Arabidopsis thaliana: one gene and its partner. The main gene of each other region encodes a partner of the protein of the gene in region 2 in a complex. Each region holds a gene or a part of one and is shown on either strand. Other genes may lie near its edges.

What was found.
Region 1: NdhS (region 2) and PnsB5 share a complex: the UniProt entries of both Arabidopsis thaliana proteins name them as parts of the chloroplast NDH complex.

What each region holds. Positions count from the first base shown.
Region 1 is NC_003076.8:17,579,367-17,585,786, forward strand, and holds PnsB5 (NAD(P)H dehydrogenase 18), read right to left. Parts: upstream 1,910-6,420; 5' UTR 1,780-1,909; coding exon 1,558-1,779; intron 1,483-1,557; coding exon 1,419-1,482; intron 1,313-1,418; coding exon 1,250-1,312; intron 1,171-1,249; coding exon 1,112-1,170; intron 965-1,111; coding exon 734-964; 3' UTR 501-733; downstream 1-500. Other genes in the region: AT5G43755 (non-LTR retrolelement reverse transcriptase-like protein), read right to left, coding at 3,611-3,861, 3,961-4,194, 4,361-4,406. UniProt on the Arabidopsis thaliana protein: NDH shuttles electrons from NAD(P)H:plastoquinone, via FMN and iron-sulfur (Fe-S) centers, to quinones in the photosynthetic chain and possibly in a chloroplast respiratory chain.
Region 2 is NC_003075.7:12,414,782-12,423,032, forward strand, and holds NdhS (NAD(P)H-quinone oxidoreductase subunit S), read right to left. Parts: upstream 6,684-8,251; 5' UTR 6,565-6,683; coding exon 5,812-6,564; 3' UTR 5,633-5,811; downstream 1-5,632. Other genes in the region: AT4G23880 (uncharacterized protein), read right to left, coding at 1,008-1,607; AT4G23882 (Heavy metal transport/detoxification superfamily protein), read left to right, coding at 2,772-2,829, 2,926-3,101, 3,187-3,265, 3,345-3,886; AT4G23885 (uncharacterized protein), read left to right, coding at 4,691-4,760, 5,112-5,257, 5,442-5,459; AT4G23895 (Pleckstrin homology (PH) domain-containing protein), read left to right, coding at 8,102-8,229. UniProt on the Arabidopsis thaliana protein: NDH shuttles electrons from NAD(P)H:plastoquinone, via FMN and iron-sulfur (Fe-S) centers, to quinones in the photosynthetic chain and possibly in a chloroplast respiratory chain.

The DNA.
Region 1 (6,420 bases), on a different chromosome or scaffold from region 2:
CAAATATTAACATCTTATAAATAGCTTTATACATGAAAATTAGAAATTGATATTTCGAGTTACAAATGAATCTAACCATAAAAATTGTAAATAATATGGATCTAATTTCATTAACAATACAAAAATAAACATAAATTAGCAAAACTAACAATCAATCTAAATATTTTTTAACAATTTTCAAAACAAACCCACGCGTAGCGTGGGTACTCATCTAGTATCATAGTAAAAACTGGTATGGAACTTACGAATAGTTTGCACAATATTAAAGAAAGTGTCAGAGATACGTTAAAGCATTTTCTTGTAGAGAGACTAGGGATTAGGAGTGGAGCTGGTTTGTCACTTGATGTTCCAACTCGATAGAACTCGAAGGTGTGTTTAGCTCCTCGGACTCTTCCACAATACTGGAACACTATATTGTTGTGTTTGGACCAGGGGATGAAGTTAGCGTGTGGCATACGTCAACCTCAAATTGTATGGTTTATCCACCATTGTATGAACTAATGATGGGTATGGAAACTCGTTGGGTCCATACGAGGTACTTAGATCTTAAAAAAACATATAGTGAAGAACAGAAACCTAACACTACAAGATGAGAATCTAGGTTTTATGGTACTAAAGAAAAATAAGAGAATGAACAATCAATATTATACACATTGTACCCCGTTCATTCATCAATTTTATAAAACAGTTTACATCAAAAGTCATGATTATAACGAGATCACAATCCATTATCTTATCGTGTGGCGATATCATCTTTCTCAATGGTGAAATCCCATACATCACCATATTTGTCATTAAAGTCCCAAATGCTCATTGTGTTGTAGTCATTAATGAGCTTGTCACGAGCTCCTCTCTCCAATTTGTATATCTGAGGCTCGAAGTTGTGTGGCTGGTCAGGTTTATCCATCTCTATTATACAGAACACTACCGTGAATAACGCTGCACCTATGAACAAGTACTCACCCTGCAACACACACACACAAACACTGGTGATTCTTTTTCTTCTCATACTTGGCTTAATTATCTAATCTCTTGTACGTCCTCCACAAAACAAAAGCGATAAAACTAGTAATGATAAATTTTGGAAGCAAGCAAAAGATTTTGAAGTTACCGGAGCATCAAAATACATCCCAAGAGCTATAGCAGGAAGAAACATACAAGAGATCAAACCTGCAGACATAAAAAAACCGCGAGTTTTCAATCAATCTGCGGTACATAAAAAGCACTAAAAAGCGGGTTAAATTCATACCTTGAAACCCATTAGTTTGATCCACAGCAGCAATGTCATCAGCAATTGCTCCCCAAAATGTTCCTAAGAAACATTTCCAAGAAGACTAATCAATCAATCAAACAAAGAAATATTATAGCTCTAAAATCGAAACAGCGACAAGAATCAATAGGAGAAACCAAAATTATACCCTTTTGAACTTCTCCTTCATAGTAAGTATGAGCTCCATCGTAATATCCATACTTGAAATCTTCCTATTAACAAAAGCGCTAACCAATCAGAAACAACTTTCAGCAGAATTATGAATTTAAAATCAATTGAATCTTTACCATTTCAATGCTATTAGTCTCGAATTGACCAATCGGGTCTTCGTTGATGTCTGGTTCGATCTGTGACAATCCAGCCGCTGAGACCAGCTTCGCTAACTTCAATCTCCGGCCGGATTTGCCGCATTTTACGACATTGACGATCTGATCAGAAACCCTAGCTCCGAATTTGGAATCAGTGACCTTTGGAATCGATTTGGGTGAGAGAATCGTGACCGTTGCCATTTTTTCACTCACTTTATCTTTTTCTTGCTCTGTCTCAGAGTTTTGGAGCCATAGAAAGAAAAAACGGTTCTTTTTTTTTTTGTGTGTTCGTTAGCGAAAGAGATTAGTAGTTTACTGGTTACTGTCTGTCATATTACCAAAGTGACTGACAAGTTCGTAAGCGTCACGTGGAACGTATTCATTTGATTGTCTTCTCTAGTTGGTTAGTGAACGCTTACATCGCGTGAAGACTATTGAAACGGCCCAACTTTGTCTTTGCTGAAATCAACAATATATATTAAGCCCAATTTGATTTACGTGACAATTGCTTAATTATTAAATTCAACCCAATATTTTCCTATATCCAGTTAAATGTAAAATTCAGTTCAGGTTAAACATCATAATACTTTGCATATTTTTAATAAGGAAAAAGCAAAACAAAAAAATAATGTATTAGCCGATTTATCGAATGCCTAAACAAGAAAGATCAATAACATTCTATGGACCAATTTGTTGAATCGTACAAAATGGTTTTGTTTGTCTAGACGCCTAAACAACCTGTTTTTAGAACTTTGTAAAGGATCTATGTAGTTGGCTTTGCTATGTTCGAATTAGTAACAAGGTCAAGGCACTTCATTGATTTAGGAGACAATGACATAAGAATCATAAAGAAATGATTCCCAACTGCAACTAATAAAGGCTGGAGTGGTTGGAGAGTAGGGTAAATTAAATGCTTTGCTCTTTCTTTGATTAATGGTTACCAATATCATGTCATGTTCTAGGGTAAAATTATTATAAACCAATTTCTCTATCATTTTACTAATGAATAGAATATCAATTTATCTCAACTACTTAGAATCAAATCTCACCCAAATTTAAACGCAACAAATATAAATTAAGATTTGGGGTTTAGGTGGATGGATTGCTACGAAGTACAAACATTTTTGATGTGGAAACTAGAATAACAAATAAAAGTCGGCCAAATTTTCAACGACAAATACATTAATGTTTTAATTTATGGACTATTGCGGTTAGGTACTTGTTATCCACTTATCTTCTTAATTCATCGAAGATATTAGCTTAATGATTTGTAATCCATGTGACATGCACTTACACATGTAGTGTTTATTGAATTATTATTATTTTTTTGTTGAAAGGTTTAGTGTCTAATGAAATGCAAATATATATTTGATTCCGATAGTTGAAATCAACACTAGTTAAGCTCCTTTTTTCTTCAATATTATCTATAGAAAATATGTACCATAATTTGCTTGAAGAATTTGAGATATCTTACCGATATAACTAAAGGTGCAGAGAGATTAAAAATCATAATTCATTTTGGAAATATTTTTTTTCTAAAGAACTCATTTTGGAACACACTTTTCTACCAACTACGAAAAAAAATTCAAACTGGTTTTGTTTATTTAAGATTTAAGAATGACTTGAAAAGGTAGAATTTGTAAAACCAATGAAGAAGAAAGAATTGTGGAGTGGTAGAGAATGGTTTCTTCAAACTTCTAAGAATAATTGTTGAACGTAATTGCTTCGTTTGGTAGGAATTTTCTTAGCAATTAGAATCAGTTCTATGTTATATAACAAACATATATTTTTGCATTACTTACCACACAAACTCTCCCCAAATTGTGTGTTGACACATACCAAATGATGATATAAATACAAAACTTATCACGCACGCGTTAAAGATTCACACGCATGTTATTGACTTGTGAAAATCTCACAAGTAGTTAGTACACATGAAACGATAGTTTAGTTTTGGGTTATGAACTTATGATATGAGTTAATGGCATCATTTTTTTTTTTTTTTTTTTAACACGAACTTCATTTTTATTACTTAGGAAACGTAGTCTGAAAACAGAGCATTTGAGATACACAATGGGATAAAGCTATGAACTATGTATGAAGACAGAGCATGTTTCTGGTTTTTCGCTAAAATATCAGCAGGTTGATTTGTTGATCTGTGTGACCACGTGAACTTGATTGCGTCAAACTTATTTCTCCAAACTTTGATTTCATGGATCCAATTGATAGCATCAAATCTTGAGCCTCTTCCATTCAGAACATTGACTAGGAGCTTGCAGTCGCCTTCAAGTATTACTTTTCTAAAGCCTCTTATCCATAATTGTTGCATGGTAAGAATTAGGCTTTGACATTCTGCTTCAAAGGCTGAGGAAACGGTCGCACCTGTCGCTTGAGCAGCCCCTTTGAACACGCCGTTATCATCTCTAATTATCCAAGCTGCCGTAGAGCCACGAACTCGATTCACAAAGCTGCCATCGTAATTACACTTAATCCATCCCATATGTGGTTTTTGCCACTGACTCTGAAACTGCCTAGTTGTGCCATTAGTCGTACTCGGAGTGGGAACTTGCGCACATAAGCCATTTGTGATCCATTCTTCCGCTTCATTTGTAGCATCTCTGATATCTCTCCACCAATCGTTCTGTTTTCGTTGGAACACTAGCTTATTACGGCTTTTCCATATTCTCCAAAGGATCGAGATAGGTAGCTGCCCTTGCATTGTATGTTGTCCTGCATTTTTATGAAATTCATAAATCTCTTTAATTTTTGTTTCATAATGCACCTGGGGATTTGATAGACTCGGAAGGGGAATGTTCGAAGCTCTCCATATTTGGCGAGCGTGTGGACACGTAAAGAACAAATGATCCGTAGTTTCTCTCGTTATGACACATCTACGACAAAAACTATCTGTGACGATTCTTCGGCTTTCAAGTTCAGAGTTGGTAGAATGGCATCATTTCTTATTTTCTTGATAATGACACAAAGTTTTCTTGTCTACAACATCATTTTAAGAAAATTAAACGTTTTTCACCAAAGCCGCGGGAATAAAATCATGAAGAATGGTTAGAACGTGGTATTTAAAGATGAGACCAGACCAAAGCAAGTCAATACAAAGTCAAATAGAACTCGATCGGAAACGATTATCAAATTTTGGATTTCTTTTTTTGGGGCAAATTTTGGTGTTTTGAACTGTATTTTTAATTGTTTGTTATGATTTCATATACAAATTAGTTTTAGATAGAATAATGAAAATATTTAAGTGAATACTATGTTGTAAAGTGTAAATAATAGACTTTTATAAGCCTTTTAACGAAAAAAGAATGTAAAAAATAAAATATAGACTTTTGTTTATGAAATTACAACCTCTTTGATAATGATATAACATATGTGAAAATGCAATGTTTTTCTTGATTCGTTTGGTCAAAAAGGAAAAATCAAGTGTGAATTAGTTTCTGATGAGGTTCAATAGTTTTTTTTGTATTATCTTAAAATTTATTCACAATAAATATAGTAGTAGGCGATAAAGAAAGTGCAATGTTTTTCCTTTGACTACATTTAAGTTATAGATTATTTTATGATGAGCAAAATCCTCAATCTTATATCTAATTGGTTTTTCTGAAAATATCCACCACAACTCAAACTTCTTCTTTGTTTGCAGCTGCAATGTCAACCGGTATTAATATAGAAGAGTGACAGAGAATGTATGATTCTCTATCTGCAAAATGGTTTTGAATTGGGACTGTGCCGGTCGATGATTCCGCTCATCATCTAGTCGCGGGTTTTGAAATGGGACTCTTTATAATTGATATCCAACTGTATAAAAATCTTGAACATCCTTAATTTGAAACATAAAAAATATGACATTAACTATCTGATTAATTTTCACTTAAGGGATGGTTAGTTAAGTTACATTGGATTAAAAATGGTATTAGTAGACCAATTAGAACATGTATGCCATTTTTTGTTTACAAAAACCTTTTTAAGTGGTATTTATAAGACTTGCTCAATTTCATTCAAAAGAACATGAAATGGATGGACTAGTTTTAATGGCAATAACCCACACAATTACTCATATTTGGTTCAACAAACTTCTATTTCGGTTCACTTATTAATTTTCCATCTATATATGAATCATATAATATGATTAATTTACACAAGTTCACACGGCCACGTAAAATGTAACTGTCTTCAAGTTGTGCACATAAAGAGGGTAGTTTCGAAGATAACGGGTCAACGAAAGGGTAAAAGAGTAAATTGCATAGAACGCGGCCAAATTAAAAGCCCCCAATTGGGATAAAAGTCATCGCCGTCTCTTAGGTGTCAAATCTCAACTGTCTAAAAACATTAAAAGCTTCGTTGGGGTAGTTGCATCTTCCCTCTCTAATACAAAACTTATTTTATCCAGTTTTAGTTTCGATTTTTCATTTGTTAACATGTTTTCATTTTTCTTTTAATGTTAATAGCCTTTTTATTTGGAAAATGAAAACAATTTCACAATTTAATTCTAAATTACCATTTCTAAAAAATAGAAATAATATAAATAATAATATTGAATAATACATGGACTAAAAAATTATAGTACTGTCCTAAACAAAATTGCTTGACTAGATTGAACAGAAAATGTTTTTGATGTCTTACTAGTTTGAACAATTTATTTGCTAACATTATTCTCTTTGTATATTTCTTAAAAACCCATATTTTTTCCTTAAATATTTCCCATTTCCCCTAACTACATTCAATAGCTAAGTCTCTCTCTCCCTCTCTCTTTCTCTCTCACTCAAAAATTTCCCATTAAATTCTCAAATTTTCTCCAACTTTTTAGGCCATTCTCTTTTCTCCTCT
Region 2 (8,251 bases):
TTTCGTTTTAGAGATCTTGAAGTCTTTTATTTTTCTTATGAAAATGGGATTTTTTGTGGGGGAGTTTGCCCTTTTGCTGATTTTTTTCCCTTTTTTTACCGAGGGATATTTTTTCATCTGAGATTTTATCTCAGTGTGTTTGAGATCAGCAAAAGGCTTATTTACCCCAGAGAAAATCCTCAGAAAAAACGAAATTATGTATTCATTTTCGTCTTTCATGTAAGGTTCAATTTGTCATCATAAATAAATATTAGTAGTTTAGTATAAACTTGTTAAGTCTTCATATATCACAATCGATCTAAATTTTTCACCAATGTGCATTTCGTACGTTGATACATACCCACAACGAACAACGCATAACTGTTATAAAATTAATTTATACGGCCAGCAAAAATGATCATCAAAGTCTACTATCTACCCGTAATCAATGACCAAGCTGATTTGTCCTGTCTCGTTGGACATATAGAAAAAGAGAGTAGATGATCAAATTGATTTTAATCACTATTTACATTTTCTTTAACAGAATAGTATTATATGAATACAATAATAACAAAACTTGTAAAAACTCAGATCTTAAAGACCAGTAAAAGGTTGATACATTAGCTTTAATTAACTCCACAATTTTGTTTTCTAAAAAATAACCTAACTCCCTAAATTGAGTAAAGAAACGACATAATTAACAAAGACTTCACAATTCAAAGTGAATCAGTAATCATTCGCTTTTACGAATTTGTGCAATCAACTTCTCTCTACCATACCTTGGAATTGGATTATACTCGTGTCATGGTTTGTTAATTCTATGCTTTGTTTCTGACTTTCCTTTTTTTGGCCTTGGAATATACTAATGTCAAAATTTTGAAACATTACTATTTATGAGACGACAACAAAAAAAATTCCACAAAATCATGTTACTTCTATTAATCTGTTACAAAATATATATACAAACGTAAATTTATATAGTTTCTACTCTAAAACTACAAAATTTGATAGAAAAACTCAAGATTAACTTATTCCAGCTGGGATAACCAGCAGCCATTTCCTTGTCGCTCATTATTACAACCAACCATCACCATAGCGACTTGAAGCTGATGAACAGGGACGTGTGCGATCTGGTCCATAAGATGCTCCAACTTTAAAACGCTGTCGTTTTTGCATTTCGACAACAACCGTTGAGCTTCATGCTTTGTCATCTTGATCTTAACCCTCACGACCTCTTCCTTCCCTTCAACCATTTTCAAACTCTCTTTTTCTTCCAGAGGATTCTCCTTTGGTTTGAGTTCGTGATCATCATCAAAACTCACCGTCTTCTTTGGCTCGAAGATCTTATTATTCTCTAACTGAAACCTCACAACCTTACGTGGCTTAGCCAGAGGCTTTTTATTCTGTTCATCTTCTTCCTCTTCGCCTTCTTCAAACCTCAGCGATTTGTCAATCCTCTTGGCTCTCTGCAAGCACCGAGACTTTTTGGTCGATTCTACTGAAACCTCCTTTGATTCGTTCAGAGGCAACGTTATGTCTAAGTCGTCTCTGTAGATAGGTTTTGCTTCTAGAACGTTGTCGTACCTTTCTTGAAGCCTGTTGAAGCATTTAGCTAGAGAATCCATCATTTTCTTTTTTTTTCTTCTTCTTCAACAAATAGGGAGAGAAAGGTTTTGTGTTATCTTGAAAGTTTTTCTCTATATAATAAATTTTCGTGGGGCAGAGAATTATATAGGCGACCAACTTTACCATTATTCGGACACGTAGTGAAGTGTGCTTTGGGGTAAGAAGATGACGTCACTTTGCCGTGGGATACTAGAATAGTAGAATTTAATTATTCAAGTTTGCTTTGCTTTACTATGCAAAAAGTGTAAGAACCATCTATTACGTTAATATCTTATAAGCATAATCAAATAATACAAAACAATTGACAAGTCCATTAATTTACAGTCGATGTTGATTTACGGGAAGGTTATATTGAATTGAAGATAACTGGTTAAATTGTAAGAGATCTGAAGGTAAAAATTAGAGATAATCAGTTTTTACCAACGATCGTATAAGTATCTGCGTATGTGAATGTAACCATAGTCTATTGATGAATTTAAGGTAAACCAAGGAAAAGTGATTCTATTGCATCATTAATCAGTCAATAAGCTTTACCATGACTTTAAAGTTTTCTCTAATGTTGCTCTTCTGGAAATGACATTAAGTAAATCGGTCATCTTTATCCAATTTTTAATTATTATCTAGCGGAATAATCAACTACAAGACGTTTTCATATATTTTTTTACAAAAAGAAAACCAACTTTCCACTGAAAAAAATTGGTGCCGTGCCACTGGCGGCATATGACATGGTCAATTACTTCATTTTGAACTGGTCTAACTAAATAATTGAATAATATTTACAAAACCAAGATAAAAAACAAATACGAAAACAAGTGTATATTTGTCACAGATAACAGATTCTTTATGTAATTTGGCGTAAAGTCCGTTCGTCCAAAACCAACCTATTCACAATGTACAATTAGGTCAAGTCGAGTTTTAAACGAGGAAAATTGACAGTATTTTGTATAAGCGCTTCTTGATATGAGAAAGAAAGCCTTGCACAGCAGTAAGGCTGCATAACAAACACGATCTTGGTCATTACTCAAAATCGGAAGATGAATTGAATTAAGAAACTCATACACACCCAAAACAAGTATGTATCTAAGTATCTTCCATTACTAGAAAGTTCAAATCCTCTATTATTGTTTTCTCAATTTTTAAAAAGGAACAGTTACTAGTATAGGGAGATGATTTCGTACGTGGATATTCAACAAATGACGTTACACTTGATTATGAAGATACCAAGTTTGTGGAACCATACTTGTTTTTTTAATCGTTGTCATTTATGATGATAAAATAACAAAGAAATCACATTTAGATTTTTGTTTTTGTTTTTGAAAGGTACAATATCAAGAGAACATGGAAAGTTGTATAAATTCAGGCGAATCCAGCAATATATCAAAACGTCTATGGACTCATTTTTGAAAGTAACTTATCTCATATTTATAGTCGTCTTCTACATTAGAGTTTCAAGTAAAGGTGCTTATGCAATGGCAAACCTATCTCCACCCGTTCGAGTATATTTCTCTCTTACCACCAGAGGTTTTTGCATCTCCTTTAAGAGTTTTCTAACGAGTTTTTTTTTATGTGTAATAACTGTAGACTTGCGTTCTGAGAGTTGGAATCAAGTGTTGCAAAGGCTGCCAGACAAAAGCAAAGAGAAAGTTGCTAAATGTCTCTGGTAATAGATCCACTAGTGAAATATTGTTAAAGCTATAGTGTTGTTATAAATATTCTAGCTAATATTATTTTCGAAACAGGGGTGAGTACAGTTGAGTATAACGCAGAACAAGGGCTCTTGACAGTCACAGGTGATGCCAACCCAACAACATTGCTTCATAAGCTTACGAAATGGGGCAAAAAGGCAGAACTAGTCTCTTTTCTTGGAGACAACTACTCTTCCCATGTTCCTAGAACCCCGGAACAAAACCAAAACAAGACAATGGAGAAGAAAAAGAAGAAGCCAACAAAGTGTTGTCTTCTAATGTGTTTTGGAAATAAGAGAAGCAAGAACACAAAGATTGAGCCTATGGCGATACCAAACTGGCAATATCGAGGAGTAGGAAATGAAAATGGCAATGCCAGGCCTTTCATTAACGCGGCAATGTCACCTCCAATGGTGTATCCTCCTCCACAAGCAGTGCCTGGCTTCACAACACCCATACCATACCCTCCTCCTAGTTTTTTTCCAGGAAGACCACCACCACCATACACTGGTGCTGGTATGTTCCAGTCAGCTCCACCACAATCCCCACCATATTTTCCAGTTCCCAACCCTAGGCTGCATTACCCGCACCACTGATACAGTTCTTTCAGACGATACATTCATTGCCTGTTTCTTCTCTTAGCTATGACTCAAATGCTGAGTAATAATAAGATGGTAAATTCTTTTCAACATGTAAGGTATATGAAGAAATGCAAATGAATGATTTCCACAATAAGGCAGACTAGAAAACACATATAGACAATTAACTTGATAAACTTTTTTTTCGGCCGGACTCATGTTTTAAATGATACCAAAAATAAACATATCTTGTTGGGAAATTAGTAAATATTTTATCAATTTATTAGGATTTTTTATAGAAACGTATATATTATTTAGTGTAGACAATAGAGAGAAACAAAGAAGTGGTTAATACTTTTATTGAGATAACGCGTTGAAAGCTTACCAAATTTTGGTGGATTACGACCAACCACCCAAAAAGATTTTTACGCTTGACTAAGTCCTGGTTCTCTCTTAGTCTCTACCCTTTGCTATCAAACATTCAGTCTGAATCTGAGATTAACATAATTATGGCAATTAATGGCACTCAAACAAAAAACACGATTGAGTCAAAAACAAAAAAGAAATTCCTAGTTTGATTTTTATTTATGGTTTTGACTTGAGAGGGATTTTTTTTGTCCCAACAGAGAAACGAACATTGTGAGGCTTTTAAATGGGTCATATAGACTTATCTGGGCCTAACCACAAAAAATGGCCCACTTTTGGAGAAACTTTGAAAATAAACCCGAAGGTTCGGGAAAATACAGAGAGAGAAAATTTCCAGTCGCCGTCGTCAACATTCTCCTTTTGGTACACAGACGAGAACGAAAGAGCGAAAAGAAGATGAACGTAGTTCACGGTTTGAAGAGGATTCCTCGCATCAAATTCCCTCAGAGACATATTAATCCTTCAGGTTTTCGATTATCCATGAAACTCTCTACACAGAATCTATGTTATTTTTTCCACAATTTTGCTCGGCTTTTTCTCGCTTGATTCGAATTTTTTTTGTGTACGGTTTCATTTTCATGAATCAGATATGAGATTGTATTCATTTGGCTGTGAATTTTTGCTTTCCGATCTATTTCGCTCTGATTGATTTGCATTTACATAGTTAGATTCAAAGGATACACAGATTTGTTTAGCCATTGAATCGAATCGTGTTTGTTATCAAATCTCGAATCATTATAGAGAAGCTCTTATGTTTTTTAGCTTTTGGTTTGGGTAATCATCTGTTTGTTATGCGATTTACTTTCTGGCATTGCAGCTTCAGAGGGAAAGAGTCAGGTGGCAAATGAAGCTGATACATTGTTCTTCTCCAATTTGAACAACATCCAAAAGACTACTGGCGGGAAGGCATCATCGCAGCCAAAGCGCACGCCAGTTTCAAACGAAGAAATGGAAGCCATTTTGGTATGTAACTTCATTTTGACATGTATAACAACACTTAGATGAACATGTATCTAACAGTATAATGTGTGACCAACTACTAAGTTATAATTATGTGACCAATTACAAGTTGAGAGAACCCTTTTCATGATTTAATAATATTGTTCTGTTTCTAACTTCCTTATCCTTTTCTGAATTTTTTTTACAGTTGGGAGGCTGCATCTGATCATTTCAACATGATCTGTTGACAAGAATGGTGGATCACTTCTCATCTTTACCATTTACAGAATATACTCGATAGTCAAGAAGAAACTGATATGGTTGATGTTTACAACAACCAATGATAACAATAAAACTACTCCATTGCAGTTTTTAACTTCTATACTGATTCATCATTGATTGAGTGCATTTGAATCTCTATTATTAAGTGCTTTATGATTGAAATTCATCGTTTATTCTTTTTTTTATATCACATGATGAAGCTCTTTTAGAACCAGTCAGAAATATTGTAGCCTAAAACGCAAAGGTACGTTACATATACATTCACAGGAACTTACATACAGAGAAGAGAAGATCACTTATGGTGCTGCCTCTTCCTTTTGCATCTGTTCGATAAGAGGCTCGAGAATACAAGACTTTGGATTCTTACCCGGTGGACCTTTTTCTCTTCGTTCAAGCTCTTCAAGCCTGAAAGTAATGAGACGGTCCCAGTTTCCTCCTTCGAACAAGACACCAGCTTTTCCATCAGTGATCCTCTGCACAATTCCACAATACATGTGATACGGACTGTTCTGGTTCTTGACTATAGCAATCATCCCCGGCATGAGAAGGGGTAGCTTGGGCGCTTTCGGCTTCTTATCTGTAGCAACCGCGGATGCATCGCTTCCTTGTTTTGCAGGTGGTGGTGGTGGAGGAGGTGGTGGATTTTTTTCGATAAACGTTTTTAAACCCTTTTCGCCACCGGGAAATCCTCCTGTGAGACCCATCATCTCTTTCTCGAAACCATCTTCAGGTACTTTAAAAGACAAGTTACTGTCATCGCTCTCTCTCTCTGTCTCGTTGTTCTCAGCCTTTGATGTCTCTTGCTCGTCTTCAATGTTCCTCTGGAGCTCCTTCTCAATACCTTTCTCTCCGTTGCATAATCCTCTTCCTCCCATCACTTCCCATAGATTGAATTTACCCATGGCCTTTACTTGATACAGTTTTGACTGCTGTTTTGGAGGCGGGAAAACCGACCGGTTTACAGTTGAAAATTGATGTGTTTGGCCTAGAAATTTTGATCGATGAATCGGAGTTCTAATGGTCGGGATAGTGATCGAAGAAGTCGCCATAACTATTTTTGCCTGCAGAGTAGAGTAGAGGTGACTAAGGGAGATATGAAGAAGATGGAAGAGGAAGGAAGAAGCGTGTGATTGATTCGCTTGTTATAATGACCACATATCATGATTTCAGTTAGATGAGTTCTATCTATTTCCAAATTACCAGTGGACCTGAACCGGTTAATGCGTAACCGGTGTTTGGAATAATGATTTAGGAGAAAGAGTAGGAACATTTGGGCTTTGTCATAAGTTTAACCTGGACCAAGTTTGAATATTCTTAAGAGATATGGGCCTAGATTAAAAACAATGGTAATGTAATTAAACATATTGCTAAATGCTAATAATGTGGATTTGTTTGTTTATTAAGAAAAAAGCAGCAAGAAGAAGATAAATCATTTGGGTCAACGACATTAATAATTGGAATCCCATACTCCCAAATCATAATTAGACATACACTTTTGTCTTAGGCTGTCCTTTACACTCATCGGCATCACCAAATACTTAGTTGGCAACTTTGATCAATTAATGTATTAAGCATGAATGAAAACAACTTTTACATTGATTCGATAAATTCATTATATTGTAGATAAGATTAGTCAAAAGTTTACAAACATTCGTTAACAAATTACAAAACTTGTAATATCTGCAGCAATGCCCATGTGGGTAGAGCTGGCTGACGCAACCTAACCGGGGGATAAAAGCGTCTTTTTGGTACCAAATTTAAAGTTTCTTTATGAGTAAAATTCCCAAACCCAACATCTTCTTCCTGCTGAAGCAGTAAGCACTCAACCAAAAAACCAATTGCGTAAACACTTTCCCTTGAATACAGAGATCACATTCGATCAGGTAAAAACAAGGTCTCGATCTTCTCTTCAGTCAATTTTTTCAAATTATTCGAGGTTCCCGTCATTCGATTCCGACTTCCGAGCTTCTATTTCTGCTCAATGTTTTTGTATTTTGTTAGGGTTTCCAGAAAATTCGATTCTGTTGTTTTTAATTTGAGCTAATAAAATCTAGAATGGGAAAAAGAAAGAGTTCATTTTCGTCCTCTTTCTTTTTGTAGAAGCTGAACTTTGTTTTTCTTTTACAGCGAGCTGATTTCTCACAAGGGATATCAAAATTTCTGGTGAAGTGGGATTGTAAAATTCGGCGTTGAAAGATATATAAAGAGGTATGTTTGATCCTCAGTGAGGAATAAGGATTTTTAGTAGTTATATATCTCTCCAAGTGATGATACATACATACTTGTGGATTAGATCTATGATAAGAATAAGCATAAGATAGAGACTGAGAGACAAGTCATTTAGGGAGATTAAATAATGTTCATGGAATGCTAAAGTTCATATAGGAGTTTGTCTCATATCAGAATCTAGATTAGATCATGCTCAGATGACATCTCTTGAATGGACAAAAAAGTTTTTAACTATGTGATTTTTTCGACTTCTTTTGGGGAATCAATGTACTACAAGCTGAGAGTTTTAGAGTAGTTTCATCTCTGGCTAAGCTTTGATTCATTTTCTAGTGGAAGGTTCTGGAGTCGTTTCAATTCATGGATGATGGTACTCCTAAGAAGCTAAACATATTACCTGATCACTTTAGTGCTCCTAGTCCCACAGCAGAATCTTCTCAGCACGATACTCCATCATCTTCGCAGCCAAAGGACGATAGTTCTCTGAGGTAAATTGTTAGCGAATAAATA